Linked DNA regions of Neodiprion lecontei. The protein of the gene in region 2 purifies or fractionates together with the protein of the main gene of each other region. This does not show direct contact. Links are inferred from orthologs where the notes say so. Each region holds a gene or a part of one and is shown on either strand. Other genes may lie near its edges. The genes, in order: FGFR1 oncogene partner 2 homolog and sarcolemmal membrane-associated protein.

Evidence for each region.
Region 1: the proteins of sarcolemmal membrane-associated protein (region 2) and FGFR1 oncogene partner 2 homolog purify together in Drosophila melanogaster (affinity purification with western blotting; 3 studies listed by BioGRID, with this or other methods). This does not show direct contact. The link is inferred for Neodiprion lecontei from reciprocal best matches to the Drosophila melanogaster genes Slmap and Fgop2.

The regions. Positions count from the first base shown.
Region 1 is NC_060265.1:2,761,231-2,777,345, reverse strand, and holds FGFR1 oncogene partner 2 homolog, read right to left. Parts: upstream 7,519-16,115; 5' UTR 7,380-7,518; intron 7,224-7,379; exon of another isoform or gene 6,974-7,223; intron 6,769-6,973; coding exon 6,634-6,768; intron 6,530-6,633; coding exon 6,278-6,529; intron 6,173-6,277; coding exon 5,951-6,172; 3' UTR 5,946-5,950; intron 5,833-5,945; 3' UTR 3,910-5,832; downstream 1-3,909. Other genes in the region: nuclear fragile X mental retardation-interacting protein 1, read left to right, coding at 8,095-8,496, 9,337-9,528, 11,881-12,179, 12,276-12,511, 12,625-12,810, 12,951-13,309; RNA cytidine acetyltransferase, read right to left, coding at 13,449-13,676, 13,814-14,062, 14,152-14,324, 14,414-14,625, 14,697-14,841, 14,910-15,054, 15,125-15,301, 15,374-15,490 and 2 more.
Region 2 is NC_060263.1:38,394,254-38,410,880, forward strand, and holds sarcolemmal membrane-associated protein, read right to left. Parts: upstream 9,068-16,627; 5' UTR 8,707-9,067; coding exon 6,352-8,706; 3' UTR 5,038-6,351; downstream 1-5,037. Other genes in the region: zinc finger CCCH domain-containing protein 10, read right to left, coding at 2,564-3,034, 3,255-3,540, 4,098-4,573; G patch domain-containing protein 11, read left to right, coding at 10,355-10,580, 10,687-11,240; partner of bursicon, read left to right, coding at 12,541-12,661, 12,723-12,847, 12,991-13,161; bursicon, read left to right, coding at 14,873-14,909, 15,576-15,742, 16,118-16,246.

The DNA.
Region 1 (16,115 bases), on a different chromosome or scaffold from region 2:
TATTTCGAGTTCCATTGATCGAGATTTAAAGAAAATGAAAAACACGTACTCGTTTCGTTATACATCACTTTTCGTTAAGCCTCGCAGTGTGATATGATTTCATTCTCTCGCCGTTAAAACGGAGGCTGGGACATTTAAACGGACAGTCATTCACATTTCGTGAGGCGACGACGTCATTCAAAATAGCACATTTTTCTACTATCGATACTTATTGACAGAATATTTCCTCTATTTTTCGTCGGAGATACTTGTTCGATATACATGCCATATATATACATATATATAAAAATAATAATAATAATAATAATAGTAAAACGAAAGAATATACGCAACTCCTCGAAACACGTATATATATATTCTTTCGTTTTACTATTATTTTTTTTTTTTGTTCAGCGTGCGACTCAACCCCATGCAGTTCCTTTTTCCTATCACGATGTCAACTTCCGACAAGTCACGAGTGTACCGAGTTGACCGCAAAGAATCACACTTTATCATCTATCAGAGACGCGAACGAAAATGGAAATATTGACAATGCGGATGAAACTTTCTTACTGTTTTAATTATTTTCATCGACCGACGTACTCACCGCGGTACACGGATGAAGACGTTGCACGGTCCGCAGGTCTGCGTGTCGTGGCCGTGGGTCGATACGGATAAATTAAATGTAGGAGAATTATTGGCGAGGCTTAGCGATCAGGCGAGTATTGTAGTATATTTAACGGTAAGAAGAAATTGTACATCGCGAGACCAGTTGGTATAAATACAGAAAGAGCGCGGTAACAGGTGCTGCACAGGAAACACGCCGGCATTGTTGGTCTCAAGGCCACGCAGCTATAAAACCCTTCTATCGCATAAGAGCGTAAAAAAAGAGTGAGAAAAGAGGGAGGGTGACCTTGGCAAGTAGGGTTGTCCATAACTAGCCTAGCTATAGCCCTGCACCGCAGCGCACCATCGTCTAGCTCCGATAGACGCCCGCCATACCTAACAGACGAAATGCGCTTGCCCTGGGCACAGCTACTCCTCACCTCCTCCTCCTACTTTGCCACCTTGGCCTCCTCCCTCTCCCTCTCCACCGACACCATGTTCCTCCCGTCTAGCCAGTCTAGGGCTCGCGCTCCGTGCTGGTCCTAGATCAAGTTAGCAGCAGCAGCTAGTCCGCGCCCTATACTCGCATGCCATGCGTATACTGACATACATAGTACCACACATCCAGGGTCGTCCAGCGAATAAATGTACAGGGCCGAGAAACGCGATTGCGTCGAAAGTCTTTAAAAGTGTGCGTGTCATTTTTCTCCTAGGTATATGTGTGTACATATATATATATATATATATATATACACATACGAGAAACACGTATAGAGTAACTTTTATGTGTGTAGGTACGATGCATGTGTACCTAAAGGTACGCACGTACACTCGTAGGCGTCATGTTGGCGTGCCCGATTTCAAACTGACCCCAAAAAACACCGTCGACGCGACGAAGTACCTACATTATACGCTTCGTGCGCATAATCATCGTCACTGTTCGAGACTTTTTAGCAAAATTTGTGTAGAGTACGTTTATTATTACGTTACACCATGCAACGGAGTACGACACCGTCTGTTTATGTGCACAACATCTATTCACGGTTTTCTTGTCTAGTTGCTGCTCCGCGTGTATATCAGTAGTGTGTACATGTACAATTAGGTAGCTGGATGCACGTAAATGCACGCGTCGCGATTATACGTATAAGCGCAAAGTGCGCGCGTGCACATGTCGCGATGTACTCGGCGAAGAAGGGCCTGAATTTCGTAATAACGCGCGATTAATTATTCGTCAGTATTATGCACACATTGCGCAGGTGTATGCGTACAACGCATGGCACATTTTGTGGCTAACTTTGCCTATCGCGTGCGCGCGTGTAATGTATGTATGGATGTGCGAGGTCGACGCCATTTTATATTCACAGTGGAGAACCACATCGCCTTTGATAGGCGTTCTTGCACGCGCGAGGGCCCGGCAGTTGCTTATCGCGCGAATTTTAGGTCAGAATATTATAACGTAATCGATATATTGCACGGTTGCGCAAAGCCCTTCGATCAATGACAGCCGTATAATTCTCATTCCGAGACTTTGAGGTAGCGTTAAAATCAACCAAATATACGAAGGACCGAGACTACGATGTAATAAACCTCTGTATTGAAATTCGATGATTTATCCGAAAACTTTACATACATAAACTGCAACGGCGAGCCTTGGGTTCATCTTAATGCTAGTTTAAAGAATTTTAAATTTATAGTATACATGCAACTACGTGCAGTGTAGCCCTTGGATATCGTCTCGAACAAAAATCTATGTACATATTATAAGAGAAATTCATGATTTAAGTTGTGCAGTTTTCATTAAAAAACTGCAATAGATTTCCGCATATCTATGTTTTAGATCTTTAATTTACAACGACGCTCATAAATCATACTAATAGCTGTTCAAGTATACAGTCTAATATCGGCTATAAATATGCGTACGCGGAATATATAAACCATTCTTACTTGAAAGCTAATTATGTCCGATCGGCGAAAAATTAAAGCCAAAGCGATATCGTGGCTCATATATAGTTGGCTATTGAAAAATTGTACGCCCCTGCAAGCGTATAAACATAAGCACACGTAAAATTTATACAGCGCATCGGTTGTGCAGTCGCGCCAGTCGCGCTAGACGTATCCCAAAACTTCTACAATCGCCCGCGAACCTTAACGAACAAGAATAAGCCACCGCGCGCGGCGCATAGATGCGTGCATCGTGCGGCCACGAGATTTTCCCTCCTTATTTTTCTCCCTCCCTCTCTGTCTCTCTCTCTCTTTCTGCGGCGACGTATCTACTGCACTATTTGGCGCTCGCTCGCACAGCAGCAGCAGCAACGGCAACAGCAGCAGCAACAGCAGCAACGGCGGCAACAGCAGCGACGACGACAGCAGCGGGCTCGTTTAACTTCGCCCATCTAACCGCCCTTTACTCGGTGCAGGACTGACTGTTCCCACACTATAGCTGACTGCCCGCTGGTACATTATGATGGGTCTTATTGCGGCGAAACCCTCCACCATCCACAGCTCTACCTGCATAACAGGTTATTCCGTATGTGTGTACTTGTCTGTGTTTTTTAAAGGATTTATAAAAAGGATTAGACGCTCGAACCCGGCAGTATTTTTATTTGCAAGTCCGCAACCCTGTCACGGTAATTCGCATTCGTCCTCCACCTAACCCTTCCCAGCCCGTGAGATTTTTACAACACTTATTTGTTGCATGTCTATTCGCGCCAAATATTACAGTCACTAAAACCGACCCTTGTCAACTCCTACTGGAAACGTCAAACTGTGCATTTATATCTCGTTTCAGATATTACTTTACTGCCTCGAACTTACAAAGAGCGGAAATTGCAAGCGGCTTAAGGATTTTTTATCTTTACAGGCCTCGTGAGGAAAATATATATATATTTTTTTTCTGTCGCCGGTGGATTCTCTAATTGTTCTTTTATCTCTAATTGGCCGTAGAGAGATATATCGTAGTCAAGGTTTGCGACCGTTTTAATCTTGGACAGCTAAATTTCCTCATGGAAGTTGACCGTTTTCTCAACGTTTATACCACGACAAAAATTCCGTACATTCGTTAATTTGAGAGAAAACTTGTGTGCCCGCCAAAATACCCGATTCGTTGCATCGACGATCAGTTATGAAACAGGGCGTTAAATTTTCGGAAAGAAATATTTCAGGTAGTACATATCGTATGTCATTCCACGAACACTGCTTTAGCATCTATATATTATATGGTGTACACCTATAGGTTTACATGCAGGCATATACAAGGGGTACGGGACTTGGGAACATCCGTAGGGAGTGGCTACGCCCTATAATAAATGAACATTTTAAAAGTGCTGCCGCTCTATGAGTTCTATCTTATTGAGAATATGGCGATTATACGGTTACGCGTAAAATACCTGTATACATGTAAATGCAGCGAAGGTGTAAGCACTGTAAGTATTACACATATGATATGTACAGACTTTTTATGTGCATGCAGCCATTTTTCGAGGCACAGCGGTCATTTGTGCGTTTTCTCGTTTTCCGTTTATTTGATTAAACCTAATTCTGACATTTTAAATCGCTAATTATAACTAATATTGACCAAAGATTTTTCCAGCAGTCTCACCGTCGGTGTTCAAGCACTCTGACGATTTCGGGTTGCGATATTTCTGCTCGACATATAATTTGATTGCAAAGCCTCCGTTATGCCGGAGTAACGCACCAGAGGCATACAATTCTATTTTATCGGAAGCTATTTTAAAGCGCCGCGCTACCAGAAATGAGTTCGAACTTTTTCCAAAATTCTGCTCAACGCGTACATACGTTAGACATAGAATATTTAACTTCATATACCGCTTCTGCTGCTGAGACATGCGAATATCAAAGATCGTGAATTGTGGTGAAATTTTTTTCCGAAATTTTATTTGTTATCCCCATAGTTAACACTAAAGGAATGCGTATACGGTCATCATGGGTCGAAAAATATAAAATTGATTGATTAAAAATTATGCACAATAAACGAATTGCACATTTTATGGAATATGCATTTGTTACTTCCATACGGCACAATAATTATTACATAACAGTTGTCACCCGCCCTGATCGCTATTCTGACGCAATGCGCGTTCTAATTTGTAGTCCGTTAAACGCCGAATGAGATTAATCAGTTTTCAGAAATATAGCTGATCATTAAAATATTTCGACATAGTTTTTTTCATATTCGTAATCATCCCTTTTAGGAGTGAAAGCCATGTAGACTAGATACGAAAATCAAATCCACTTTTAGAATAGTGAAAAATTTGAATCAACTTGTGTAATTCCGCCTAAAGGGACGTAACCCGCAATACACGAATGCATCGCATTTGCAGTAGCGTAATACATTAAATATTTTAATTTCAAAAGTTGTTTAATAATGTATAAATATTTTGTTACCTTGTTTACGATCATAAGTACGAAGTGTTTTCATCTAAAATTAATTGTTACATACCTATATTGTTTTAATGTTGTGTTGAAATTTTTACCTTCGAAATAGGGTCAGTGCCTGGTATTTGTTAATTTATAATTATGTCGATATTTGACAGGTTAAAAAGAGATTCAAATAATAACAGATGATAGCTGAACATACGATAAACTTATGGTTAAATATAACTGACATGTGTACAATAACGTTGACTAGTTGAGTTATACCAAATTATGTTCAACACGAGGACGTTAACCATTAAACTTGTCTGCGTAATTAAAATGATGCATGAATTTATTTTGGCAACCAGATAATAATATACGATGCTAAAAGCAGACGTGGGATGGTCAAGAATTTGAAATCCAGTAGTGATTCACTTCAGCGGGCCTGTTCTTACTGCACGGATAACCTTTCTCCGATCAATCGTCAAGGGAAGAAAAAAGCAAGGATCTCACGTTTTCAAAATAAAATTACATACTTCAACTTTCTCACAGTCTAATTCAAAAATACTAGCTTTCAAGATGTATCAGGAAGTTGAACAAAGCTATCCAAACCAGTGACATTGCCAATTCACAGACGTAACTGAAATGAATATTTTTCCGGGTGTAAACGGTACCTGAACTACGTTTTACCATGCAGCTACAAAGTATTTTCCAGCAATCGATTGACAGTTGGCCGTAACCCTCTTAGCATGGCTGGTACATCTATGCACGCATACCACTGCACTTGGTCTTCCCTGCCACCGACATCCAAGTTAGTTCAGAAGTGACCTGTGTCCTTGATTCGTTATATCTCCATTGTGTTAAAGTTTCAAGCTACCACATAAATTACATACACATTGCGCAATCATCTTTGAAATTTACCGTTTATCATAGATAACCAATGCAAGTGATATTATTCAGAACACATTTAGAATGCTATCTCATACTTTTCTTATGCTGGCTCTGTCTGAACAGTTTTATCGTCCATCGTTGGATCTTTATCCAGAGAACCATACTTATTAGCTATATCGAGTATTTCTCGCAAAACAGTATTCTCTTCCTTAAGCCGAGAATAAACTTCCTTCCCTCTTATATCATTCTCTTCATCGATCGCAGCTGCAGTTTTCATCACTGCCGCCATCTCGTTGATCTTTTCCGCTTGGCTGGTGATTAACTGTTGGAACAACGTCAGATATTTAGATAATATTATATGGAAATTGCATTGTTTATTAACCAATGCAGATTCATCAGTGAGTTTTTTCTTTTATATCAAACTTACCTGAGTATACTTTGAATTGTGGAAAGATGTAAAATCCACCTTGCAACGGCGAATCAAAGACGATGTCTGTTCTCTGTATTTTGACATTATTAATTCAAGAGCATTCTGATGATCCTCTAAAGCATTTTTTAATTCTTTATTCTCTGCTTGAATTTCACGCAGATACTTATTCTCTTGTTGAATTCCAGCAATCAATTGTAAGTGAGGTCTATGGTGTGCTTCCGAGTTAAGGATTTCAACTTCCTCTTGATACTAAATGTCGAAAAAAAGATATTACAGTAAAAAGAATGTGCTTCATAAGTAAATGTAAAAGTGTACTATCTTCACCATTAAGTTTTCAATTGTAATTTACTAACTTGTTTCATACTGTCGATTTGGCTGCATACTGATTGTATATCTGATATTAAATTATCCGTATTATTTTCTTGATCCGAAATACGTCCCACTAGCTTTTCAGCATCCAACATAATTTGTTGAAAAGTTATCGACATCTATAACACATATATAACAAAAACTTAACAGAGAAAGCGAATTACAATTCGTACATTTAACACAATAGCAATTTGATTGTTACGAATGACTTTCATGTAGATATTATCGAAAAATTTTCAGCTTATAATTTGAGGCCTCACAAAGTACGATTTGATTGAAACATAGCTGTAATTCTTTTGCCGAGTTCACATATGATTGCTATACCTACACCAGTACGTAAACTAAAACCGTATGACGCGATATTTTGACGGATAGGTTAAGTTAGGTTAAGTTGGATTAATACGGGTAAGATGTGTTTCTCTCACTCTTCTAAACTATTAGTCGCCTAAGTTGACAGCAAGAACAGTTGAATTAAAAGATTTATTAGGTTTCGCTATAGTTTCAACCATTTGTTGAAAATAAGTTATTGAACAAATTCGAAGATACGTGAATAATGGTGCGACAAGAAGAAAAAACTCCAAAAACTGCCAGCAACATCGACATGGAACATGAATTAGACAATAGTCATAGAGTTAGAAACTCCGTCCCGTCCGTGAAAAATATTTCTCTATAATGCTGGCATTGCGGAATGCATATTTATTCGCTATTCTTTGAAATGTCGATAACTTACCACACAATTATTGTCACACACTGCACGCGACCGTTATACGGCTGGCTCCCTTTGAAGCAGAGACTCTAGTACAGAGTGGTTACCCAATGGTTCAGTTTGCCCATTCGCTTTAGGCAGGCGCCGAAAGTTGAAACTAACGCAGAATGTTCCGTTAACGATATCCTAGTGAACACCAATTTTTAAAAGTTGCCTTTTAAGATGTCTCTTCAGAAAATTCACCGACACGACTAATTATACCTCAAGATAACTTTGTTAAGATATCTCTACAAGTTGTCTTAAAAGTCAACCGATCAAGACAACTGCTACGACGTCCCTGTGTTTCGCGATGCGAAGCTAGCGCCAAACTGTCGACATCGCCAGCAGGGCGATCATTTATTCACCAATCTCCAGTAATTTGTACATCCTTGAATGGCCATCGCGTGAGTCCAGTACCTGTGAGAATCGAATTTTTGCGATTCAGTTTGATTTGATCAACGGTTGTAGGCAACTTCGTGAACTTGATGTATTAAAGATTCGAGCACGTGTATAGTGAACGCGAATAAGGGGACACAGAGTAAAAACAATAAAAAAAACCTGCCTTCTATTGCGATCTCGCACATGTAAATTTATCGCGTTTTAACCTATAGCTTTCCCACGCGATAAACATTGCACTGACGGAAAGTAACGTCTACCTCAGAATCAGTTACCGCGTAATTCCGGATCGTTTTTGAACGTTATGAGCCCATTAAATAGGGGGCCAATGCTCGGCCCTCGAATGCCTCCGGTCGGGATGCGTCCCATGCCTCCTCCACGGTTCGGTGGCCGTCTACCGCCTCCTGGTATGCCGCTCAGAATGCCGCCGCATCCGATGTTCGGCCCCATGAGGCAACGTATGCCATTACCTGGTCCCGGCATGCCAATGTTTGGCCCCAGGATACGCGGCATGCCACCGATGATGATGGGGCCAATGATGGGTCCCAGGGGAATGGGACCCTGTGGTCCACCTCCCATGAGACCCACTTCTCGAGGCATGCTGCCATCCCAAGGTTTGCCGCACATGCGTGCCCGTCTGCCGCTGTGCGGAATTAACATGAAGGGTAAAGGAATGAATAATTCGAAAAAAGTCAGCAAACTTGAGGTAAATGTTACTTCATATAAAGTCTGGGTATTCGATTGATGTCTTTTACTTAATTATCATACAGCACTGATTCGTATGCATCGAGGACAAATTGTCGAGCAATGTCATGTGCTGAGACAGAATATTCTGAATAATTCATCAACTAATTTCTTATCAATTTTGCACATTACAAAAGCCAATCAAAACAGGCATAAGTATGAAGTTTGGCCTTTATTGTGAACCACTTGCTATAAGTTGTCCATTGCTTGTTAGTTTTACCGCAGTTTCTCTATCATCTTAATTATTCATCCAAGTGGTTATTCGCATGCATCCGTGGCTCTTTCCATGTCTAAACGTGACATGGACACTAATGCATGGCTCTAGTTTGTATGCGCGATTAGCTAAAATTTGGCTTGCGATTACAGATGCTAATGTTTTTTTGAAATGTATTTCATTGCTATCCAAAACTATATCACATCTGTGAGATAAGAAGCAGTCATGCTGTCTATTGTCTGGTGAGAGACATGGAAAGAAAGAAGACGATTAATTATCATCATGTCAGACGTACATATATCAAAGTAACCTTTAGAAGGCCAGCCTGGCTCCTCTAGGATTTGGCAGATAACTCGGAAACTCCATCGAACGTGTTAAATATTTATTTACATAAATCATACTTCTAAAAAATTTCAGTTTCAAAGGGAAAATGCCGGCCCTCTCAAAGGTTAATAGGTTCATCTTACCAGTTATCATTTGTTAGTTACCTATCAAAACCGTCTGTATAACTTCTGCTGAACCAAAATTTTCACCTATATATTCATTTATTTGTATATTTATCGATCTTCTTCTATCTGCGGTACATAGGAATTAGAATTAAAGAAGCCATGGATGACTGATGAGATTCGTAGCGAAATACAAAAGAAAAACAAGCTATACGCCAAAGCTAAAAAAAACAAAGACGCAATGGAATGGGAAGAGTTTAAAGATTTGCGGAATAAAGTTACCAGAATGATTCGTGACGCTAAAACGGAATATTTGGCCAAGAATCCGGAACAGGTATTCATTGATAATAAGTTTCTAGAATATTTTAATTCAGCATGGGTTAACTTCGCATTGAATTTTAAGACGCTTTTACATACTGATTATCGTACACAGAGTGCTCCGAATAGAAACTGAGCAAATTTGGAACACCTGCAGGAGTCAGAAATCTTAATGGGAAATTTGCCGCAAATATGGCCATTAACTTTTCAATTGTGTTATGATGTTTAAAGAAATTTTCGGACAGATAAATAGAGCACAACAGTTTACAGATTACTTTGGTTACAGGGTGGTCAAAAAACAAGTGATAAGAATTCAATTGAATCCAAGGGTGTTCAGATAACTGTCGATTCAACTGAGCAAACAGAGCAAATGAAGCTAGCGGAGGAGACGCAGCCTTCCAGCGAAAAGGCTCAGTCCTAAGCTTTAGGCTACTCCTCTTTCTTCTAACCATTAATAAGTTAATCCATTGTCAAACTTATATTTTTAGTATTCAATATTCATTGTCTCAATGAAGTAACGAACTATTTCTGAAAGCTCGAAAAATTTACTTTACTATAGAAACTACTATTATAGTTCGTTTTGTTTATTATGTGAAAATTATTGATGCACAAGAGCACACATAGCACATACCAATCTAAAAAGAGGTATAGGCAAATTACCTTCTCAAATCCAACTTAAGACTTGAATGACGTTTTTTGTTCCTAATATTTGATTAGCATCTAGTGTATTGGTTAAATCCCTGTTTACGTTTTTCTTACACCTCTTGCTTAAAGGAAATGCATAAGACTTTACTAAGATACCTATATATGTAACGATCAAAGTTACACTGGCCTTTAGACAATTTTTCTTTTGAATTAATATGCTCCTAAATTGCTCTGCGGCCAGTATACAGTGCTCCAAGCTATATTTATTGATATTACATAGTAAAATTAATTTCTGAGGGGATTCTGTTTTTGTGATTTAATTATTTAGATTTTTGGGTATTACTCTAGATTAAATGAATTGCCTGCAGTCATTTCATTTAGATAGCTTTTAGCACTGTAATGTATGTAAATTTATTTCATGTAGCTTTTATTTGAATGTAGTATTTAATTTATCAATTGCAGTTGGAAAGTGTTTCAATTCACTGTTTGTACTGGCCCAATATTATTCAAGCAAATGATAAATAGCGAAAGGAAATTTGTATTAAAAAAACGTAATGTAAGAATAAATATTTCTATAACTTGTAATCATGTTGTTCCTTTTGACTCTGTATTATCCACAAATTGAAAGTGCTGCACAAGAAGTTTCTCTTCGGCACATCTAACAAGTAGTACACTTATTGTTGTTAAATGAAACAATTTACTTTAATGACAATCAACATTGTATGTAGACACTACTATAAAACTTGGATAATTTTTACATACACATTGCCCAAGTAGGAGCATTCTGTTTCTGAAATACCAAATATATAATTTACCACAGTATAATATTGGGTAGCCAATCTTTTGCTTATAATATTCTGAGGTTTCAAAAGATATCATAGTTTTTTGAACAACACGTATTGTAAATTTACCTGATCTGATATAATAATCCACTAATATAATCGTATTTTAAGTTTCTTGCAAAACATACTGTGTTCAACATTATTAATACAACAGTAAGAATCAGTTATGCATGTCTAATCTCTGCAAGAATAATAACCTTCGCTGTGCTGAAGATAAAGTACTTTTTGGTACAATAAAAAAAAAAAGATTCCTTAAAAGTGTGACAAACACTTTGTTATTTTTGTAATTCTCGTTTTAATCTCAGTATTTGATTGCTGGTAAAATATTGAATTTCTATTGTAACTACTGTATACTGACCGCTCAACTTATTGGTATTGCTCTTCTAAGCATTATACGTAACTTATCTTATGAAGTTTTGCATCATTCAGAAACAAATAATATGAGCCTACCAGATAAAAGAATTAAATGAGTCATTCAATGGTAAGCATATTGTTACAGTTAATACATACTGTAGACAATTATCTGAGCTCAAATAAAGAACACAAATTTTTACTTTGAAGCAATGAATACAGTCCTGTATAAATAAAAAAAATAAGTTAGGTATGCTTTTCGAATCACTTAAAGTTCATGTAGATATTTGAACCTCTGAAGCTCTTAGAAATACTTACTGAAATATAGTGCGATTACAGAACTACTCGATCTTTTCATTTTTTTATAACTGAGTCATCTGCCATTACATCAAAGAGAAGTTACTTGAGCCTGTTTACTCTAAGGCAATTTCACATTTCGGGGGATTCTGTCAGTACTATACTCCAAGTGCACTTTAATTCGCCTAAGGATTTACTAAATGAGAATAATTTTTTCAAGTTATGAATTTTAGGCAACCCTCTACTCAGCTGACACATCTGCTTATGATGAAAGAGATGAAAATTATCAGAGCTCGGAAGAAGAACACGAGTATTACTGTGAGGTATGTGACAGGGAGTTCCCATCAGAGGAATCCCTTGCTCGGCACATGGGGGAACATCGAGTTTGTGGAATAGACGATTGTGTCTTTTCAGCGCATCCAAAGCTCGTTGAAAAACACATCAGCATGCAACACACTACAGGCCTTTATCATAGAATGAAGAATCTATCTACGCCAGAAGATATCCAAAACTGGATAGCAGAACGCAAACGGTAGCTACATTGAATATTTATTGTTCAAATATTGAATGATACATAATCTCTTAATCTTGATACTATCAAATTTCATAAACATAATTATGATTTCAGGCGATACCCAACAAAAGCAAACATAAAACATCTAGCAGCTGAAGCGTTGGAGAAACAAAAGCGGTATGAAGTAATTAGAGAGAAGAAATCAATAACAGAAATCAATAGAATTCATAAGAATGAAACAAAGAAAGTTACAAGACGCAAAACTCGTAGACGACCACGTGCCTTACCTGTACCTGCAAAGGCTATGGAATCGCAGCTTTATAGAGGCTTGCAAATGTTTCCAGGCACTTGTAAGTCATAGTTTTGATGAATATATTAAAGTTTTCAAGGAAAATGCGTATAATTTCAATTTTAGAAAATCATACACTGAATTATGAACATACTGTGAATCTTGATGTTTAAGTAAACTTACGGCAATCGACGAGTGATGAAGAGTATTCTCTGATTGAGGATTCAGACAACGAAGTGGACATAAGAAGTACAGGGCACATTTCTGGTGGTGATGAAGTGGATCTAACCATGAACCTCGAGGCAAATAAAAATTTTTCGTTGAGTCTGGTAGCAGATTATGGCACAGATTCTGACGAAGGTAAGTTTATGTAATACAGTATGCTGTAATGTTTATATTTTATCTTATTAGATAACTCTAGAATTTTCACGATATTTTAAAAATCTTTTATCTAATGTTACCTTGCCATTGTTCTTACAGTAGCTATTTTGCTTCCACAGATGATGGACCTGAGGAAGTTCCTTTTAAAAAAATAAAAGTTGATACTAACATTCCTGTAAGCGTTCCGGCCTTAACAAACCCAGATGACTGTAACATTAATGATAAATCTACAACGAGAAATAATGACAGCAGACATAGGTTAGAACATTTTGAAAAGACAAAGCAAAACAATAACAAATATAAAAATGAACGTAACAATCAAAGGTTTCATCAAAACAAAAATCACACTGCACAAGGGACATTGAACACAAACAAAAATCGATTACTCAACAAGCTTTTGTCCCGATCAATACAGCATGAAAGAAACTTGATTTGCCAATGTATAAAGTACATTGTTGATAATAATTATTTTGAATAGTTACATTCTGCTATCTATGTTATGATATTGTTAATACGTATTGGCGCAATAAAGAATTTGAAAAAGGTTGAGGGAGTGTCTTTATGTTCATCAATATACATGCACTGCACATCTGTAATTTCTTATAATTCGAGAAGTATTACTTAGAGAAGCGTTTCTTCTTTTTCTTCTGCCCGCTTTTTGCAAAATCCTTGGAATCATCGTCAACTATTCTTTTGTCTGCAGTTTTAACAGAAATGAGACTTGCACGACTACTTTTCCCAGAAAGAGCACTTTCCCAATCCGTTTCTGAACCTTTTATAGCATACTGACTTAGGTTCTCTCTTTTCAACCTGTCTAGTTCAGCTTTTTGTTTAACTTTCAGTTCCTGCAAAAAAAAATTCGTGTACCGCTGTTATGAAATATCTAGAATCATTAGAGAATCTGTAGTGGAAAACGGGAGTAGCAAAATAATTGTAAAACCATGTACTAAGTACCATGGAATTAATAACATAAAATCCAAACCTTAGCTGCATCCTCCAGTTCATCGTGCATACTTTTTCCACCCATAGGGTTCATATTTACTCCAGTATTAGTTGTTATTTTATTCATCATTTTATTTTCAATAAAGTTTTCCACCACACTGTTCAAGTACTGCACCGATCTCCGAATGACACGATTGAACAAACCCAATAGCTGAGACGAAGGAAGGCCCAGCTCTTCTACCAATTTGTCAACGGTTTTATGCTGCAAGCCTAATCCAAGTAGAATTGCCTGAAATTAAAGATCAACAAGTCGTATAAAACTATCTGTTTTAAATAATTTAGATAACAGATGCAAGTATATAACACGGCAATGCTTACAGACTGAACTGGTGAGAAATGAACGTCACCCATCAAGTGGAGAAAATAGAGTCTGGCTAGAGATGGTAACAAATCCATGACTAGATGATAATCAGCCATATTATTACTGTACATTTCTAGGCGCTTCACGTCGTATGTTGTGAAATACATGTCCAATGTATCTTTTTCTAGGGCTGAAGCAAAACATTAGATTATCAAATGAAAATACTTGAGGATACAGTTCGAACGTTCAACGTTCATTCAAAGATGAGCAAATACTCACTAATTTGAGAAACTGGAATAGCCTTATTTATGAGAACACTAAGTGCAAGAGATGGGGAGAATGAGCTGAACGAGAATGAGAGAAGTGTTATAAATCGACGACGGAAATCCTTAGAATATGCCTCTATCCAATTACTGGTTTCTTCCTGATCACTTCCCAGTTTGCACAACAAAATACAAGAATGCTCTCCAGTCAAGTCGTTTGTTGTTTGCCTAAATTATAAGTAAACAAGAATTAGTAACCAAAATCCTTGAGCATGTTCACTATTTGAATGAATGCATACCGTAAGTAAACGGGAACAAAATTGGCTCTCTTCCAGAATTTAAGAAGTGGTTCAGTGAGGCCAAATGATACGCCGATGTAATCCAGAGGCTCAGGGCGTCTCTCGCTCAATTTCAGCAGCAAAGGTGGTAACGAGTTGCGAGGTTCTAAGAAATATTAATTAATCAATTAACAAGTATATGACTACGTAGGTATTGATTGTGGAAAAACGTACCAACAGTTTCTTTGAGTAAAGATACTTCATCATCCTGGACGTGTGAGATTTCTGTAATTGGTTCTTCGACCTTTTCATCAATGTTCGGTATTTTCATTTCATAATATTGTTTCAAAAGTTGCAATGCTCGGGTGCCATATCCCATCTGCAACAGGAAATGAATTATCTTGTTACTATTTCTGAAAAGAAAAAGAAGAAATGTATAATCGTCTTACCGCCTGATAATCAGGGTGTGTTGCAATTCTGACAATTCGCGCTCCTGCAAGTGTAGGAAAGTCCTGATCTTGATACTGCTGAGCAATAGTCCACGGAATAAGATCACCAGCAGCTCTCCGTCCTCTTCCAAGACCATCTGCAACCGTAGATTTGCTGACTTGACCTTCTAAGCATAACTGCAGGAAAAGATTGTTGTCAGACATTGTGTACAGGTATCATGTATACTAAATAAGACAATGGATACAAACCTGAATTACTACTAATATTTCAGGCAATGCTTTTTTGTTTGGGTCAACAGGTCCCAACAAGCAGAACAAATGGTGTGCCGGAGCATCCGACATCATTTGGAGGTCATTTGGGCTATTCTGTGAAGGTTTGTTATGCGTTTGTAAAATGGTGTAATAATCACGATATACATATATAGATATACATATAATACCGGCGATTCATGCAATATGACAAAATATATCACATAGCCATATACTTACTTTATAATGTGAAGCGACGTACAATGCAACCAACCTTTGCAAAAACATTTCCGAAGCTTTGTGGTAGCAAAATAAAGTGTCCCTGAAGGTCAAAATATGTTCATAATTCAATGTAAAATTTTTAATGCTTATATTCTGCATTATTACATGAAAATCCAGAGATAAAATAGGGATTACCTGTTGATGTAATACAATTGACAAGTATCAGGAGGTGGACAACCAGAAAGAATAGGAGCTTGCGTCATTGCATCAAGACAAAGTAGTTCAGTGAGCCACTGCTCAACAGAATCACCAGACTTGTATCTGATAGATTCTTCAAGTGTAAGTTCATGCAACTGCCTTCCAACTGTCTGAGTATCTTTACTAGACTGGAAACTCTTGTCATGTTTATTTGATCCCGACGTTTGGCTTCTCAATTGTTGCAACAGTTTCAAGGATAAAGATCGTCCAGTACCTTCGTACCTGTCAATGTGTATATTATGTAATTTACTAACTTCTTAAG
Region 2 (16,627 bases):
TCACTCGGCCCATTTTTATTTTTTTTTACGCATTTTGGCAAATTTCGAAAAATACTAGTATCACTTAATTTCTGACGTTGATTGCTCACGTATAATGATTTTAGTTTTTACATATCAGACAAGAAATACGCACTTTATCTTTCCTGCCCATTCCAAACTCAAGCGGCTAGGTCCTTCGATGGTCAGCCGTTGACTAAAGATATATTCTTCAGTTACCGGGACAGCTAATAACGCTGCCGTTCTGCGACAGTTGGATGATAAAAATTTTTGCTCGTACCTTCCAAACGTGTGTTAAAATACACTCGAAGTTTTAAAAAGCTTCGTTCTATCTCTCCCTATCAAAAAAAAAAAAAAATAAATAAAATCTCCGACAATCACCTTTTTAGGTCTTTAAATCAGGACACTGCGTTAAATACTGTCTTATATACGGAACATCCATTTCATCTCGATCAAAATTAGTGCATCCGTGATGTATGACAGTTACTCTGAATTTTTTCCATACGAACACTTTTCAAAAAACAATTCTGCTACTCTACCCAACGTAGATACTTCACTTGCGATTAGCTAAAACAGCGTTTCGATTCTATGCCTACGAAACTTCAAGATCGAGATAGCAAATGAAAAGTTATTGAAATAATTATGAATATTAATGTTATGGAATACATCGAGCGCGTGTCGAATAGAATCCCATTTCGCAATGAATAATTCTTCTATTTCCATATTATAGCCGTATTATTGTAGATGATCTAGTTTGTCTCTTGGAAAATTATAAAATTTGTAGTATGCATCACGTAATAATCGTAAGTGGATCATATATATCAATATCGTACATGGACCGCATTTACATATATACTTTTTGGCCTCTGCATCATTATTACATCTGAGCTATTATTATTTATGATCTATGTATACATTCTCCTCTCGGGTACTTATACTATAATCAAATCACTGTTTTGCTACGAATTTTGGAAGAAATTTATTCTCATTATTGATTTCTTGTATCGCCGACAAGTCGGTAAGTACACACAGGTTAAGTACTGGCTTGGGCTTACCGTTGCGAAGACTGCGTTACTCGGAAGGTGAATGCAGCCAGCATCATGTCGAAATCGGCAACTCTCTTGATGTTCTGCAATAACTTCTCAACTCTACCGTTGGAACATCTCAGGGGGTGCAAGCGCACGACGATTTTCGGTTGTCACACCAAAACCCATTAGGGCAACTGTCTTTATATTCTTCAGTCAACGAACTTACCAAAGTACACACGATAACTTTCAAGGCTCTACACCTGTTCGGGATTGGTATACAGTTCATCTTTCACAATTTATTATATTTGTCTGGAATTTCTAGACTTGTATCAAATTAGACATTTCTTTTCTATAAATATGTAATATTTTGCTTTAGAAACATTTAACAATCAATGATAAATGAATTCTCCACTCTACCACTTCTAAGAAGAAAAATATCTTACTGAAAATATGAAAAGAAGCCTGCTACGTTAATATGAGGGAAAACAACCAATAAGCTAACAAATTTCGCAAGCTTTGTTTAGTAGTATCTGGGACAATAAAAGTACCTATAGCAATCTATTTTTGTATATAAAATATAACTATTCGTAGGCTTATATTTCTTGATCATTACGATAAGTAGAACACACGTATATTACGGCAGCTCACGACCATGATTTTTGACTCATAACATCCTGGCCAAAACCGTATAAAATCTATTATATGATCCTGAACTCAAAAATGTGAACAAATTGAGCCGACCTGTTAGATAATATCTTGTCTGATTTCCGGAATGTAGTTACATGATAGTCCTGAAATACCAATGACACGTTTTTCATACGCCGATAGCGCAGCGCCTGTCCACGAGACCATTCTGAAAAAACAAACGAGAAAAAAAATTACGTATAGCATGCCGTCTGAAAATTATTCTTGTAATTAAATTGGGGTCAGAAAAAAATCGCACCGCCTCAGACGTTGCATTTGCATTTTGAAAATGTCAACAAATTTAGCCAATCCCATTTGTTGGAAATGATAAAATAAGTTGCCTAGATATAGAAGAAATTTTTATCAGACCAACTGAGTGCAGCATCTGGTTTATTGGGCATTATAGTCAGTATTAAAAATGTTTAAAAACAGTATTTTCGTAACCTCAGTAGCCATACAAAAGGATTTAAAAAAATCGAACTGGGATGCTATGGAAGAGGTTGGCTAAATTTGGTGCCATTTTTGAAAACTCCACCAGGTAAAAAGCTGCGCGCAAAATGTCTTAAACCAAAAATTTTATAAGTAAAATAACAAAATCTATGTACATTTTCACTATCAGATAGGATGTTATACATCTGTCTACCTATTTGTTTTGACATAGCAGAAATGGCCCCCCACGAAGCAGCTGCGTTCTTGACCGTTACTACCCACCTAGCCGGGTCAAGAGTCATCTAATCTTTTGATTTTATACGGTTTTAGCTGGGATGTTACGAATCATGGTTTTGATCTTAGGCTCCCTAATACAGTATTTAAATGAGTTGGTGTTTTTTTAACTTCAATAAAAGAATAATCTTTTATTGTAAGACAGGTCTCAGTTCTTGTGTCATAATTGGATAAGAAACGAGTGGTGCGGTTGGACCAGATATTGATAGTGGTAAGTTTGTTGGTTGCTGAGCGTTCGGTGCTTGTTGGTTGGTAGGCTGAGGACCCGAACCACTCATACTAATAGTTTGTTGAGCCATCGTGACAATCGGTGGAGGAATAGACACCGGTGCCATGGAAACAGCAGCGATTGATACAGGAGTTACTGTTGCTATGCTCACAGGAACAGTTGCAACGCTAGCTGTAACAGTTCGCAGTGTTCCAGCTGCTACAGCAGCATTAACCATCTGTTGAGGTGTTGGAGCTTGAGATGGAGGTACAGTGTTTGTTATCGTAACTGCTGGGACTGTTACAGCAGTTACATTAGTTGTCCTTTTACCAGACATTCTTAGTTGTGCATTTTGGTCCAGTAGGAATTCATTTGTCGCTGTTAAATCGTTGACCTGCAATTTGAAGAGTATAGAATTAACTTTAAACGACATTTTTGATAAAACAAAGTCACTCTGTATTATAATTGAGTTGCTTAAAACCAATTGTTTAATGTTCCATGAGTCATTTTTTCAATTTCACTATAAATTGATAAGCCTGAATTCTTTTAAAAGCTATGAAACAGAAACTTGACCAACACCACAAAGTTGTATTACATTATATTGCGAACTTTACCTGCTTTTTTAGTTCCTCAATCTTTTTTTTCAGCAATGCATTTTCATCTTCGAGATTAAAAGCTCTAGCTTCATTTCTGGGGATTACAGGATAGTAATAGCTAGAAGTTACAGGCTGGGTTGGATGCTGTCCTACCAGAGGTGACGTTTCGAAATGCAAGATAGTTTCTCCAGAGACAATTCGTCGTTTTGCTTCAGGAGGCCCCAAATAATCAGGCGGATGCGTAGAAGGATTGTAGCCATTATTGTGGACCAGTGGATGCGGGTCCTCCATCTGCCAGTGGTAGCTGGTAATCAAGCATATTCATCAATAAAAACTATGATATATAAACAATTGTAATCTGTGATTTATTACATTTCAAAAATTGATAGTTTCTTGAAAAGAAGAAAAACCAGAAACAAAGAAACCAAAGCTGTACAGTATGATTTGATATCCTCTTTGTAAATATTTACGTGTACAGAGGTAGTGATAAAAACATCAGTTTAAAAATAGCCTTGATCATTAATTTTGCTTGTTTGCTACAGAATATACCGCAGTCAGATGTATGTATATGATTGATGCTTACAATGCATGTCTAATGCATGATTCATCTAAATAGCAACAACATGTTCTATCCACGATAGAAGGCAGCCAGTGTGATAGTTAATGTAATAGAATGTCTATTTATATGCATGAACCTACTTTAGCTCTCTGCTCAGTCAGAGTACATTATCTCTTCACACTGCAACTACTGATCAATTAAGAAATAACTATGGTAGACCAATGAAAGAGTTGCTTGTCAAATGCATTTTTCAACCGTAATACTTATTTTGAATCTTAAATTCCAACTGTCAAGTAAATTACCTTCTTTCTTCTTCATATCTTCGATTTTCGCCATTACTGACACCATTAAAATTATGTTGAGGTCTCGTAACGGTATGATGGGGCGGAGGGACCATAGGATGCTGTGGTTCTTCCTTCTTGTAATGCCTGTACTTACAATTGACTCTTTGGCAGCTGCCTTTGATGAAATCCTTGCATAACGGTAGTTCGGATTTGTCATTGTTACATTTCAAATTCGATAAAATACGCGGTGGTAATTCACCAGTTGCTCTGAAGTGTTTTTCTTCACTTTCAGTGCAATGCAAAAATCGGCATCCCGGCCAATTGCAAATCCCATTTTGAAAATCATGACAAAAAGTATATTCATCTGCTGGGTCATCTTCTGATCTTTCATGAAGATATTTACATCGCTTCCCTCTGTGGCAAACGTTGCGCAGAAAATCTCTACATACTCGACTTGGAGAAGAATCTCCGTTAGAACTGGAACCACCTGCCATGTGTTAGTGTTTTCGGCACATTCCAGTTATTGTCAAGAATATTATTGCCCGCATGGCATTGGAAGTCCTTATGATTTTAGTTATGACTCAGTGAACTAGAACCAGCTAGGTATCCATGACTGTAAATTAAACACAAAGTACTGATATAAATTTCTGTATACTATATGCAATACAATAATTAAATTTATACTACTTACAACAAAAAATTAATCCCTCATTACTTTTCAACTAGTTTCATTATGCGTATACTTAATTTGTACTTTTAACTATTACATGCAAGAGGTATATGATTAAAAAAATTTCGCTCAACGCATTTTTATCCAAGTTAATTTCATATCTACTTTAAAAAAACAATGCTTCCTAGAATTAATTAGGGCTAATAATTGACTTTAAAGGCTGCTTAAGCTGACATTGAAAGCGATAGCACAGTGCAAATTACAAGAGGATATAGTAAGACGGATTAATAAAATTTCAATTAATTTAATTTTATTTCGTTTTATATAGTGACTGTTACATAGGTATTAATATTATATCAACAAAATATGTACAGAATTTAATAACTATTATCGTCATATTCTATCTCAAACCTTCCAAATTGGTTTCATTCTACAACATGCTGCATTTTACGCTGGAAAGATAGTGCAACATCTTTCAGTTATTTTTTGCAAAATGGAAAGAATCGAATTAATCAATGGCACACTACAAAAACTAACATGATAAGAAAATATAATAAATTTTTAATCTACTATAAACGACGAATAATTAAGAGAGACCATTATTTTATTTATTGCCAATATGAAAATAACTCTAGGCCCATACTGATCAATACCACATTGAGGTGTTCTGTAAACCATATTGTGAAAATTTAAATAACAAGAACATAATTACCAGCTAACAATTAACATTGCATTAATGTATTTATTACAATAAAATTTAACATATAACAGAACCAAGTGCTTTCCACAGGCAATATTCAGTGCGTGATATCAGCTAGTACAGTAGAGAATAAATTTTACATATTTGCATAAATCTTTGAATTTTCCTGAATATTCACTTAGTTTGAGTATAAAAGATTCTCCGTGCTAAGTTATAAAAAATTTTGCATTCTAGTTATTTTATTTACCAATATACATTATCACGATTACTTGCAAATGAAAATGCATAATAATCAATGATACATACGATAAATTTGCATGTCGTTTTTTTTTTCAGTGTAGAAATACGTTTTATACGTTAAAAACGATATGGTATTGAAATTGGCAAAGTGGTTATTCATTTTTTATACGGTACGTCAGTATTGTCTATATATTTTTCTAACACATCTCCAACTCCGAAGAATTGGCACAATGCTTGAATGTTTTTATGTGTACTGAAGATGTAAAGGATATAAATAGAAGTAAAATAATATAAATATTTGATTTCTTTCTGGTTCTTGAATTGAAATGGTAAGATGCTGAGCTTCCATTCAATGTTTACTCATAATGGAAGCGAATAAACTTATCTTCACATCCTTGACTTTTAGAGTTAAATATAATATATGTATATATGTACACTGTTAATTTATTTATTATGTTTGTTTTCTTTTCGTATAAAAAAAGGTTCTCAATTGCAACCGAAACAATATGCTGGAGTATCCTGTAATGCTTGGTATTATTATTATTATTGTTATTATGATAATTACTTTATACTATATCTCATAATAATATGCTTAACATGTGACATCATAAAAAATCAAATATAATAGTATGAACAATAACTATGTACAGAGTTAGAGAACATTAGAATATTTTTTCAAACAGCATCCATAAAAATGCTATTGCGATTGGTGCAACGTATTGTATGGGAACTGTGTAGGTAACATTCAACAGATCTCCACACTGAGCTTTAAGAGCTTCGTATCCTTTAACTAGTTCTGTATTCTCTTCTGTACAAGCGTTGCACTTTTCTTTAAGAATGACAAGTTCTTCGTTTATTTCTTGAATACGTTGAGTCTCATTTTTAGCACGATAATACAACTCCTTTAGTTTACTTATTACAGTTTCATTAGACTCGTGAATCAGCCATTCTCTAAGGTCGTCCAGCTCCTTATTAGCTAATTGCTGTGCCTCATAGTTATCTTCATCCTTCAAGGAGTCCAAAGAGCCAATTAAAGTTTGAAGAGTATATTCCTTAGACTGTAAACTTTGTTGTGCAGACTCGTTTTTCGATATCGGTTTTAAAGTCTTTATATAATCTCCATCTAAATGTTCACCCTCGCCGCATTCTTCTTCATCTTCGTCACGCTCCTCACTATTTTCACGTTTCTTTTCTTTATCGCATACTTCAAAAGATTTATCAATGTCTTCGAATTCACTTTCTGCTGAATTTTTAATATCCTTTGAATCACTTGTCAAACTCGAAACCTCGGACTCCTCTCCGGTTTGTTCAACAGGATCATAATGAACCTCTAAAGGTTCACCATTTTCTTCGCAAGCAAATCTTACCTCTAATAATCTAGCTGGCTGACCGGCAGCTTTAGTTGGTGTGCTGTTTTCTTCGCTGGTTCTCTTCACTTCGACGACTGATTTTTCGCTGCCATCGTCGCTGGTGGTGGTACAAGCGTCTTCGCTAACCTCAGAGTTATTGTCAGACTCTACGCTGGTGTCTAAATTATCTAAATTAGCGTTTCCATTGACCAGGGTTCTCCTGGAAGGTGGGTCCAGGATGCACCCTACAATCTTATCTATCTCTGATAATGATACGTCGATATTGCTCTTGTTGCAAGAGTTTGAGTTAATTTGATTGTCATGCTCAATTTTGTTCGCGTAAGAATTAGACTCCTCATTATAATCAAAGTCTTCTATAGACATCAGCTTTGTTTTGTACAATATATTGTTAACGGCAAGCTGGGCCTCGTCGGTAAGAAGGTCCAAATTCATATCTTGCAGAGTCTTGAGGTGCTTTCTAAGTGCAGTCACTTTCTCGTGAATGGTAGTAGAGTCATACCTGAAGTCCCTCAGTTTTGACTGCAAGATTTTCTCCACTCTAGCCTGATCCTTGATCCTTTTTAGCAGTCCCTTCTTTTCTTGTTCAGCTTGAGCTACCAAGTCCTTCATCTTGTCTTCGCTCTCTACCAATTTGTTAGAAAATTCGCTTATTTTAGTTTGGGCCTCGGTATACTTAGCTGCTAGTTCCTGTAGCTCAGCCTGCGTAGTTTTGGATACTTCATGCAAACTCTGACACTCATCTTCGGTATTGTTAAGCTGCCTTTCAAGATTGGCAAACTTTTGTGTCACCTCTAACTTCTCCTGCAATATTTTCTGCAAAGCTTCCTTAGCCGCTGTTTGATACTGTGCTTTGTCTTCTTGGAGTTTAACAAGCTCATTCCTTATCTTATCCTCTGTAAAATTCTTCGAATAAGCAACTAGCTGACTCTCGACAGTTTCGACACGCGATAATAAACGGTCCTCGTCAATCAAAGCTTTCCACGATTGATCGGCTGCCTGTCTTGTCGTTTCTACCAGTCTTTGGAGGTGATGAAGTTTGCCGTTAAGGACCTCTTCCCGTCTGTTAGCTTCTTGCAAGAATTGATTAAGTTTGTACAAATCCTCCAGGGATACACTACTCGTAGGACTCGCAACCGACGTGCTAACGCTAGCTTTAGCTTCTTTACCGTCAGGCAGGTACAATTTTAAAGTAGCGACGATACATCCGTGAGTAACCTTCCTCGTGTTTTCCATAACATCGACTCCGAACTGTACAATATCACCAGAGCACACCTCCCTGGGTCCTGATTCTTCGCCACCTATGCTAAGTCTTTGGCTATTGATAAACGTTCCGTTACTACTCTTGGTATCTTGCATATAAAATTTACCAGCCTCGTACCAGAGTAAGGCGTGATTTCGCGAAAGCACTTTACAGTCGAATATAGCATTGTTCGGCGTAGCTCGAGCTCTCGCCACGGAACGACCAATTTTAACCGGTTGTTCGAGCGAAACGGTGCGCTCGTGAAATGGATGGGAATTTGCCCGACAAATCAAAACTGCCTTAGCAGCCATCTTGTTGTTTGGCGTGTTACTAGTGTTCAGGTTGGAATTGTTCGGGGTCGGCGAATAAGTAGCATTTTGAATCCAACCCCCACTAGCTATAACCATAACCTATTGTAAACTTTATTTAACGGATATAACTATGAGAAATATATTAATTGGCTAGTGGTTACGGCAGTAGGTTAATCGTACGTTGAACACTTTCTTCATCAAAGTGTTGAGATTAGTTTAGTTTGGTGTTAATTTTGGATTTTCACATTTGGATGCACGATAAGATTTCCAGCAGCTTATATCTTCGTCAATTATTTTTACAATGATTAATATTGATCTTCATATTGTGTACACCACTACATAAACGTCAATGTCACTTTTTCTCAGTTCATTCGCCTATCCAGATGGCTTGAAACTTATCGCCCAATAACATTATCAACTCGTTTAAGGTGAAAGGTCTTTAAGCTGTATGTTCGAAAAATTTCGGATACCATGTACCATGGTTCGAGTCCATGTGTGGATAGAAGCTGCACACGCCCACACAACGAAAATAGCTGTTAAACTGGCTCGTAGGGTTCATCGGCGTTAACAATAGCGTGCCATAACTCGGCATAAAAAACGGACAATCATCACTCGGTAGGAACTCGCTAGGCGTATTGTGTTACGCTTGTCAAATTATATCACCCAAGTTTAATCACACTCGACTTTCGCAGCAGCTCTGCGTTATTGGTATCAAGACGAAAATACTTTACTTAAAACACGGAACAGTGAACGGTGTTTGTTACTTTAAGATTTGATATAATTTATTTGTCAGGCACAGTTTCAACATGGTAATGCAACGTAAGTAACACACGGCGAACGTTCAAGGGGTCAGCGACGAAGGTGTAGTTGTAGAAAGCACTTTTTTAACACGATAATTACGCGAAATCTCCGATGTCTCGAGATCGAGATGTTGCTCTACAGACACACAGAATCAGAATATTTTTTTCGCTCTCTCAACAATTGCGTTGAACTCCCGTGAACTTTACTCGGTACTGATGGTATTAGTGATTTGATCGCATCGCCTTCGGAGTTCTCTACGCTTCACGTATGGGAATAAGAGACTACACGAGCAATTAAATAAACAATTGAAAGACAAAATATTGTACACGGGTGGACTGCGGAAACACAGTGGTCCGAATTCACTTTGTTCCTTGAGAGTCAGTCCGAATTCCGATTCCGGTGTTTCTTCCGTTTATCGACCGTCGGATGTATCTGCGTATGAATATGTGTATGTGTGACGTACGTCCTTTTAAAATATCACATGACCATTTGTATGCATAATTTCCCACATAAACCGGAGCGAGTTCATCGTACATGGATATTCTCAAAGTATTTCAATCAACCTGAATGCGAGGCTAGGCGAATCTTACGTGCAAATGGAGAAGCGCGAGTAAAATTTTTTGAAAAATATCCTGTGACAAGATCGTTTGAATAACTTGGTCAAATCATTATCAGTAGAAATTGAAGATAACCTCAAAAGCAAGTTGACAGAAGATTAACGAAAAAAAAGGGGAAGAATCGAAGAAATTTGAGTGTTTATGGTATTACATATGAGGGAACTTTTGTCACGACCATCTTGAGCCTCACTTGTTAATTAATTTTTTTATCGGTACGTTATGTTCACTCATCAGGTCTGTCACAACAATGGTTTAGTCTTCAACGTGGTTGCGAATTTTTTACATTTCTACTTATCTGTATTCAATTTTCAGGTAGGTAATAAATCATGTCCGATGATGAAGATTACATGTCTGATAAATTTCTCCATGCTACCGAAGAACACTGCACTCCAATTCTCGCTCGTCGTCGCTCAGATCAACGGGAATTAGATCTTTTAAAAAAGAAGGCAGAGATTGAAGCTCGATTAAAGGAAAAAAATGTGTCTGTACGGGTCATAGAACAGGAAACGAGAGATAAAGGACTAGCATCTGCCATCACTAGTGACAATAAAGGTCAAGCTCAAATCATTGTAATTATATTTCTGCACACTTGGAGCTAGACAAATATCCTACTTGAACTATTTTCGAAACTGTTATATCCACTATTACTTATATTCAGGTTTTAAATTATTGGAGAAAATGGGATACACACCTGGGCAAGGAATCGGGAAGAAGGAGAGTGGAATATGCGAGCCAATTTCGATTGATCTGAAGACAAATAGGCTGGGCTTAGGCAGAGCACCGAAGAAAAAACCGTCAGCAACAAAAAATGGGAAGAAGAAAGAGGATAATTTTAACGCCAATGATTTTCGAGGAAGAATTTCACAGAGAAAAACCGAGCAGATGATAGAGGTTGATTTACGTAGAAGTCAAAACAGCTGCGAGCAGCTAGATAATCAAAATAATATTGACAAACCTGTAGAAATTTGGTACTGGCCGATAGTGGAAGAAGAGAAAAAAGACTCTGAAAACAACGAGTCAGTGGAATCAAGTGAAGAGGATGAAGATGAAAATGAAGATGATCACTACAGGATACCAGCTAGTGAAAAATTAGAAATTTTAACCAAATACCTAAGAGATCAATATTTTTATTGCATATGGTGCGGGGCAGCATATGACGATGTAGATGATTTGAAAGATAATTGTCCAGGAAATACACGGGATGATCATTGAATACTGAAATTAATTTATCTAATGGACTAATCACATCATATCTAGGCTAATATTTGGCGCTTGTAATACTGTCAATTTTTTTACGGAAAAAATAAACAAAATAGAACCAAACTATTTTAGTGTTTCGTATCGTTTGGATTTTTTCTGGAATTTACCGACAAATAATATTTGAAGAAAACAAATTAATTAGGGGAATTTTTAGCAGACTGCATCCTAAACAGAAGATAATTGATAATGTGTTGATGGATAATTACGTTCTTTGAAGAACAGGTATTAATAATATCATAAGAAGTTGACAATAAAAATGATGGATTTTATACGATTTTAAAAATTCAGCCATTCTGAAAATTTTTTTTTATACATAGATTTATGAGATCACATCTCTTAGCTCTGGTCATGATTAATTCAATGGATTTAGAATGATATTTTCATGAAAACTATTCAAATTATTCTTGACTACTAAATTGTGTACATGTATATGAGATGAAAGTTAGAAATACTGTGAATAGTAAGGGAAAATAAATTTAACACGAAATTCCACGTTTTTCACCTAAGAATGATCCAAGTGATTGTTTTGGATTGTTTATTGACGACGTGAAGTTTAGTATGCATCTACAGGTTGCTAAAATAATTACCTTCCGAGATTGATACTTTGCCAACGAGGTATTGTGATATGAAACACGAGCTCATTCGAGCTTTTCAACTTTCGTAAAACTTGTATCAATGCCTAAGTTAACTTAGGTTGTGCGTGCATCCAGATACTCAATTGCAACAGACGTACTAAAGACACTAAATTTTGTCAAGTATATAAGGATAAAAAAATAATTTCATTCCAGTCCTTACATCTTTTACAATTGTTATAGCTGACAATTTTATACAAGGCTTCTATACTTAGTATAGTAAAACTCTGATTTGCTATGGAATGTCAGATAGTACCTCCTACTGGGGAACATAACATAAAAAAAGCATTAGGTGGATAATGCAAAGTATCTCTATACGAATAAACTGATGTATTACAAAGAAAAAGAATTAAAAAAAAAGAATAAAAAAAAAAACGTTCGAGCTGTATGTAGTTGGAAGTGATTTCGGATCGACTAGGCTATCAAGACACAGTGGGTGGTTTACTCCCCAACGCGTAATGTCAGGGGTGGGAAAAGTATGTATAAAAGCTTTCCTCTCGTATTTCGTCTCCTCACTTTGACCCTAAACGTTGACAAAGCTCATTGAAAATCTTATTGCAGCGCACGCGAGTCTAGGACATCTTAGAAATAATCTTATTACAGTTGAAATAAGTTAAATAATGCGGAAGTCGGTCCTTTTTTTACTAGCCATTATGGCACTTTTTAAAAGTAATGTAATCGCTCAGCTGTCAGGAGATGAGAATTGTGAGACATTGCAAACAGAAATTCACGTAACTAAAGGTAAAACTTGAAACGCTTAAATAAGCTTCAAATTACATTTGGTAATATGTTTTTACTACAGACGAGTATGACGACCTGGGACGTTTGAAAAGAACGTGTGGCGGTGATATTACGGTTACAAAATGCGAGGGATTTTGTAATTCGCAGGTACAGCCAAGCGTCGTCTCCACCACAGGATTTTTAAAGGTACACCGAAACAAAGAAAGTATAGTAATTATTGATAGGTTGCTTCAATAACTTTGTGATAAAAATAAAGCGAGATCAAAGTTAGATTGATATCTACTCTCCTTATAGCCAAACTAATTTTTCTTCTCTTGTGTGTTATTTAGGAATGTTTCTGCTGTCGTGAAAGTTACCTAAAAGAGCGAGATGTTTTCCTGGATCATTGCTATGACGCAGATGGTGTTAGATTGGACAGCGAAGAAGGTGGTTCCATGGAAATCAAGCTACGAGAGCCAGCCGAATGCAAATGCTACAAATGCGGGGATTTCGCAAGATAAAACTTCGTGATTTGCTGACTTGGACTACATGCTTATACCAATAATCGTCGTCTTTTGTTACAATCCAATACTGTATCATTATTGATTATATAATATAAACATTATGACTTGAAATACCTTGTTCTTCAACGAAACCCTGCGCTTGTATTTAATAATGCGAATAAAATACAATTTTCCAATATACATATTCTCGTTTTTTTCAACTTCACTTTGAATTATACGTACGTCATTAAGTTTGGCTGAATCATTGCAATAAATTTGATTCACACATGGCCTATATTCCGAGTCGTTAAATATTTCAAGATGTTAATATTACCTGAAACGTTTGATCAGTTAATAATAATCATTTATAGTGAATTCCTGAATGACATCGAACATAGTAATGATATTGAACATGGTATTGATATACATATAGAATTCTGAATTAGCTCAATCTGCCAACAATAGTGTGATTTAAGACTTCTGCTTATTGACTACCGCGTATGACTGAGAGAATTAAATTTTTTAATTCATATATAAATCGAATGATCGCAAATGTTGGAAAAGCATTCAATTCATCATCAAGTCTCTCGTCTTGTAGAAGAAAACATATTAATTTCTACTTACTTTAAAACTGACTAGCACGCATTGAATGTGCAAAGAATTATTGTCGTATTTATCAATTGAATTTGCTGAATCATAATGAGACTCAAATACATGTAATAAGAAAAAATAATTATTGTTGTCAACAAATTACTAACAACTAATTACTCAAGTTATATACATTGATGTTTAGATGAAATTATTTTTTTAAATGTATTAGATGAAAAATTTTTCTGCACTCACCACTAATCCAAATTGTGTGTATTCAAAGAATTATTGGAATGTGGAACTGTTGACCAGAAATTAACACAAATAAAATAGCTCAATTTTGCACTACAACCGTAGCGTATTGCACAAAAGAAGAAGCTCTCTAAATAGGGGATCATTGATATAAGTATATCTTGAGAAATATAATAAACCAAAGGACCACCAAAATTGATAGACTGGATTTCTGCCAGTAACGTGTAGACGATTAAATATTTTGCAACTGCCAAGACATGAGACAACTCAAGGAATGCTATTACATTTATGGTTTTGGAACTGCTCTTTATAGGTCAACAATAGATTTTCCCTGGTTATTTGGCTCAATCGCTAAGAGTGAACCATGAAAAAGCATTATATGACGTTGTTTTTTCGTGCTGCTCCATAGGGTGTCCAGCGATACGTCTCTTGTGAAGTGGCTAAGAAGGTTCTCAACTAACAGAACTAAAATAGTCGATTTTTTGGTGGAGTTATAGACTTAGATGCTTTTGAGAACCTCACACTTGACTGAACTGCACTTATACTTTACGCCACTGCATACTTACAGTTTTTCATCCTCCATGTAAATTTCTTACTCTTGAAAACGGTGATTAAATGAGGTCAGTTTATTTCTCGTGAATTAAACTGAATTATAGAGAAATCAGAAGAATACTAATTTTTAGCATGAGAAAACTAAGGTCTCCATTTTATAGGGATGTATAACAACTATATACAGGGTATTGGCAAGCATAGTTTTAGGCAACAGATGTTTCCCCCCTCTATAAGGGAGTGGCGTCACAAAGTAGGGGCTGAACGGAGCTAACTGTGGGGTATAAAAAGCCACGACCGAAGAATAATAGCCACAGTGGTTTGCTAGCAGAGCCTAAAAATGTATCGCACTGAAAACCTATTTTTCTGTCAGTTTGGTAAGTTAAATAACGAGAAGACTACGACAAACCAACTAGTAACGTTAATTTCAATGAATTACGTGTCGTTTCACTTTGTTCTTTATTATCAAAATTAGTGTCCAAAAGACTTATGTTGAATATCAAAGTTCTTTCATCATTATGACATTGAATAGCGTTTAATCAATTTATTTAAAGAGTTACCAGAAATCCATGGACTCAATGAAATGCAGAAACGGTCTGCGCAATCTCAATATGATTTGTGAGTAGTATTTGGAAATGAAGTGTGAAATCTAGAGCATCATTAATGAAAAAATTGTTATGTAATAAAAATGATTTTCATCTCTGAGATATTCTAAAACATTGTAATCTGAGTTTTGGTGAAGTTGTGATCGATATATTATGACTTTCGTACCTAAGAAAATTTGAGTGAATAAATTCAACAGATTAATTTGCAGTGATTAAAACTAAGCTATAAAGCGATTGAAATTTTAGCCACTGCGGCAAAATCCAGAAGATTTTGCACAAGCTTCACGAACTGCGCTATCAAAGCTAGAAGTATAGTTAAGACAATAAATAAATACAAGTTAGTCATAAATTTGTACAGTGTGATATTTCCGTAATAGAAAATAGCTAAATATTGTGTTGAGAGTAGTGAAAAATAATGTCAATTTACTTACACAACAGCTCTACTGGCTACACTGATGTTTCTACTTTGTGGAAACGTCTCTACAATCGCAGGGGTGGATGAGTGTCAAGTGACTCCCGTAATACACGTTCTGCGCTATCCAGGCTGTTTTCCGAAACCAATACCAAGTTTTGCATGCACTGGTCGTTGCAGCAGCTACTTACAAGTAAGAAAAACATCCACATCCTATTATTCGTCAAAATAACATTTAAATTCTAAAAATGACCTAAAAATGATTGAAAGTAAATTGCAGTGCAATAATGGTAAAAAAAAATTGGGTAAACCTCAGAATTTAAAAACTTAAAGTGTCTTCGGGTCCTGTAGATTTCATAAACTGAATAAATGAAAAAATATAGAGGATCGTAATTACCAAAGAATGAATTGACACTTCTGTATACATAAGTAAACAGATATACACATAGTGGTTACGCTCAAGATTTGTGGATAATGATACGTTAGGTGAAGTAAAAACAGTTGAAGGGTGACAGATTATCGTAGTTTAAAAATAATTAAACAATAATAACAATACCTGATATCGTAGGTGTCAGGTTCGAAAATTTGGCAAATGGAAAGAAGCTGCATGTGCTGTCAAGAGAGCGGCGAGAGAGAAGCGAGCGTGTCGCTGTTCTGTCCGAAAGCGAAACCAGGCGAAAGAAAATTCCGAAAGGTGGTGAGATTTTAGCGATTTAAACACAGCTATAAGTTCGTCGCAGGTATCACGAGGTGCTTGTACACTGTTTAAGAAACATTCAAAGACGTATGTCGAGAGATAAATACAGGAAAAAATTATTGTTATCCAAACTTAGATTCTTAGTGTTTCGAGTACTGCCATATTGTTTTTATTTTGGAGTAGGGAACGCACGGAATCGGACCGTGCGCGCCAGCTTCGAATATGCACTGACAGATTCTGAACACGCAGCTAGATAAAATATGTTAGAAAATTATTTAAATTAAATAGCATTTGAAATTATTTCACGAACCGAAATTTTTCAATAGTAAGTCTACTGACTCCAAAAAATCTGCACCATTAATGAGTAGAAGCGATAATTTT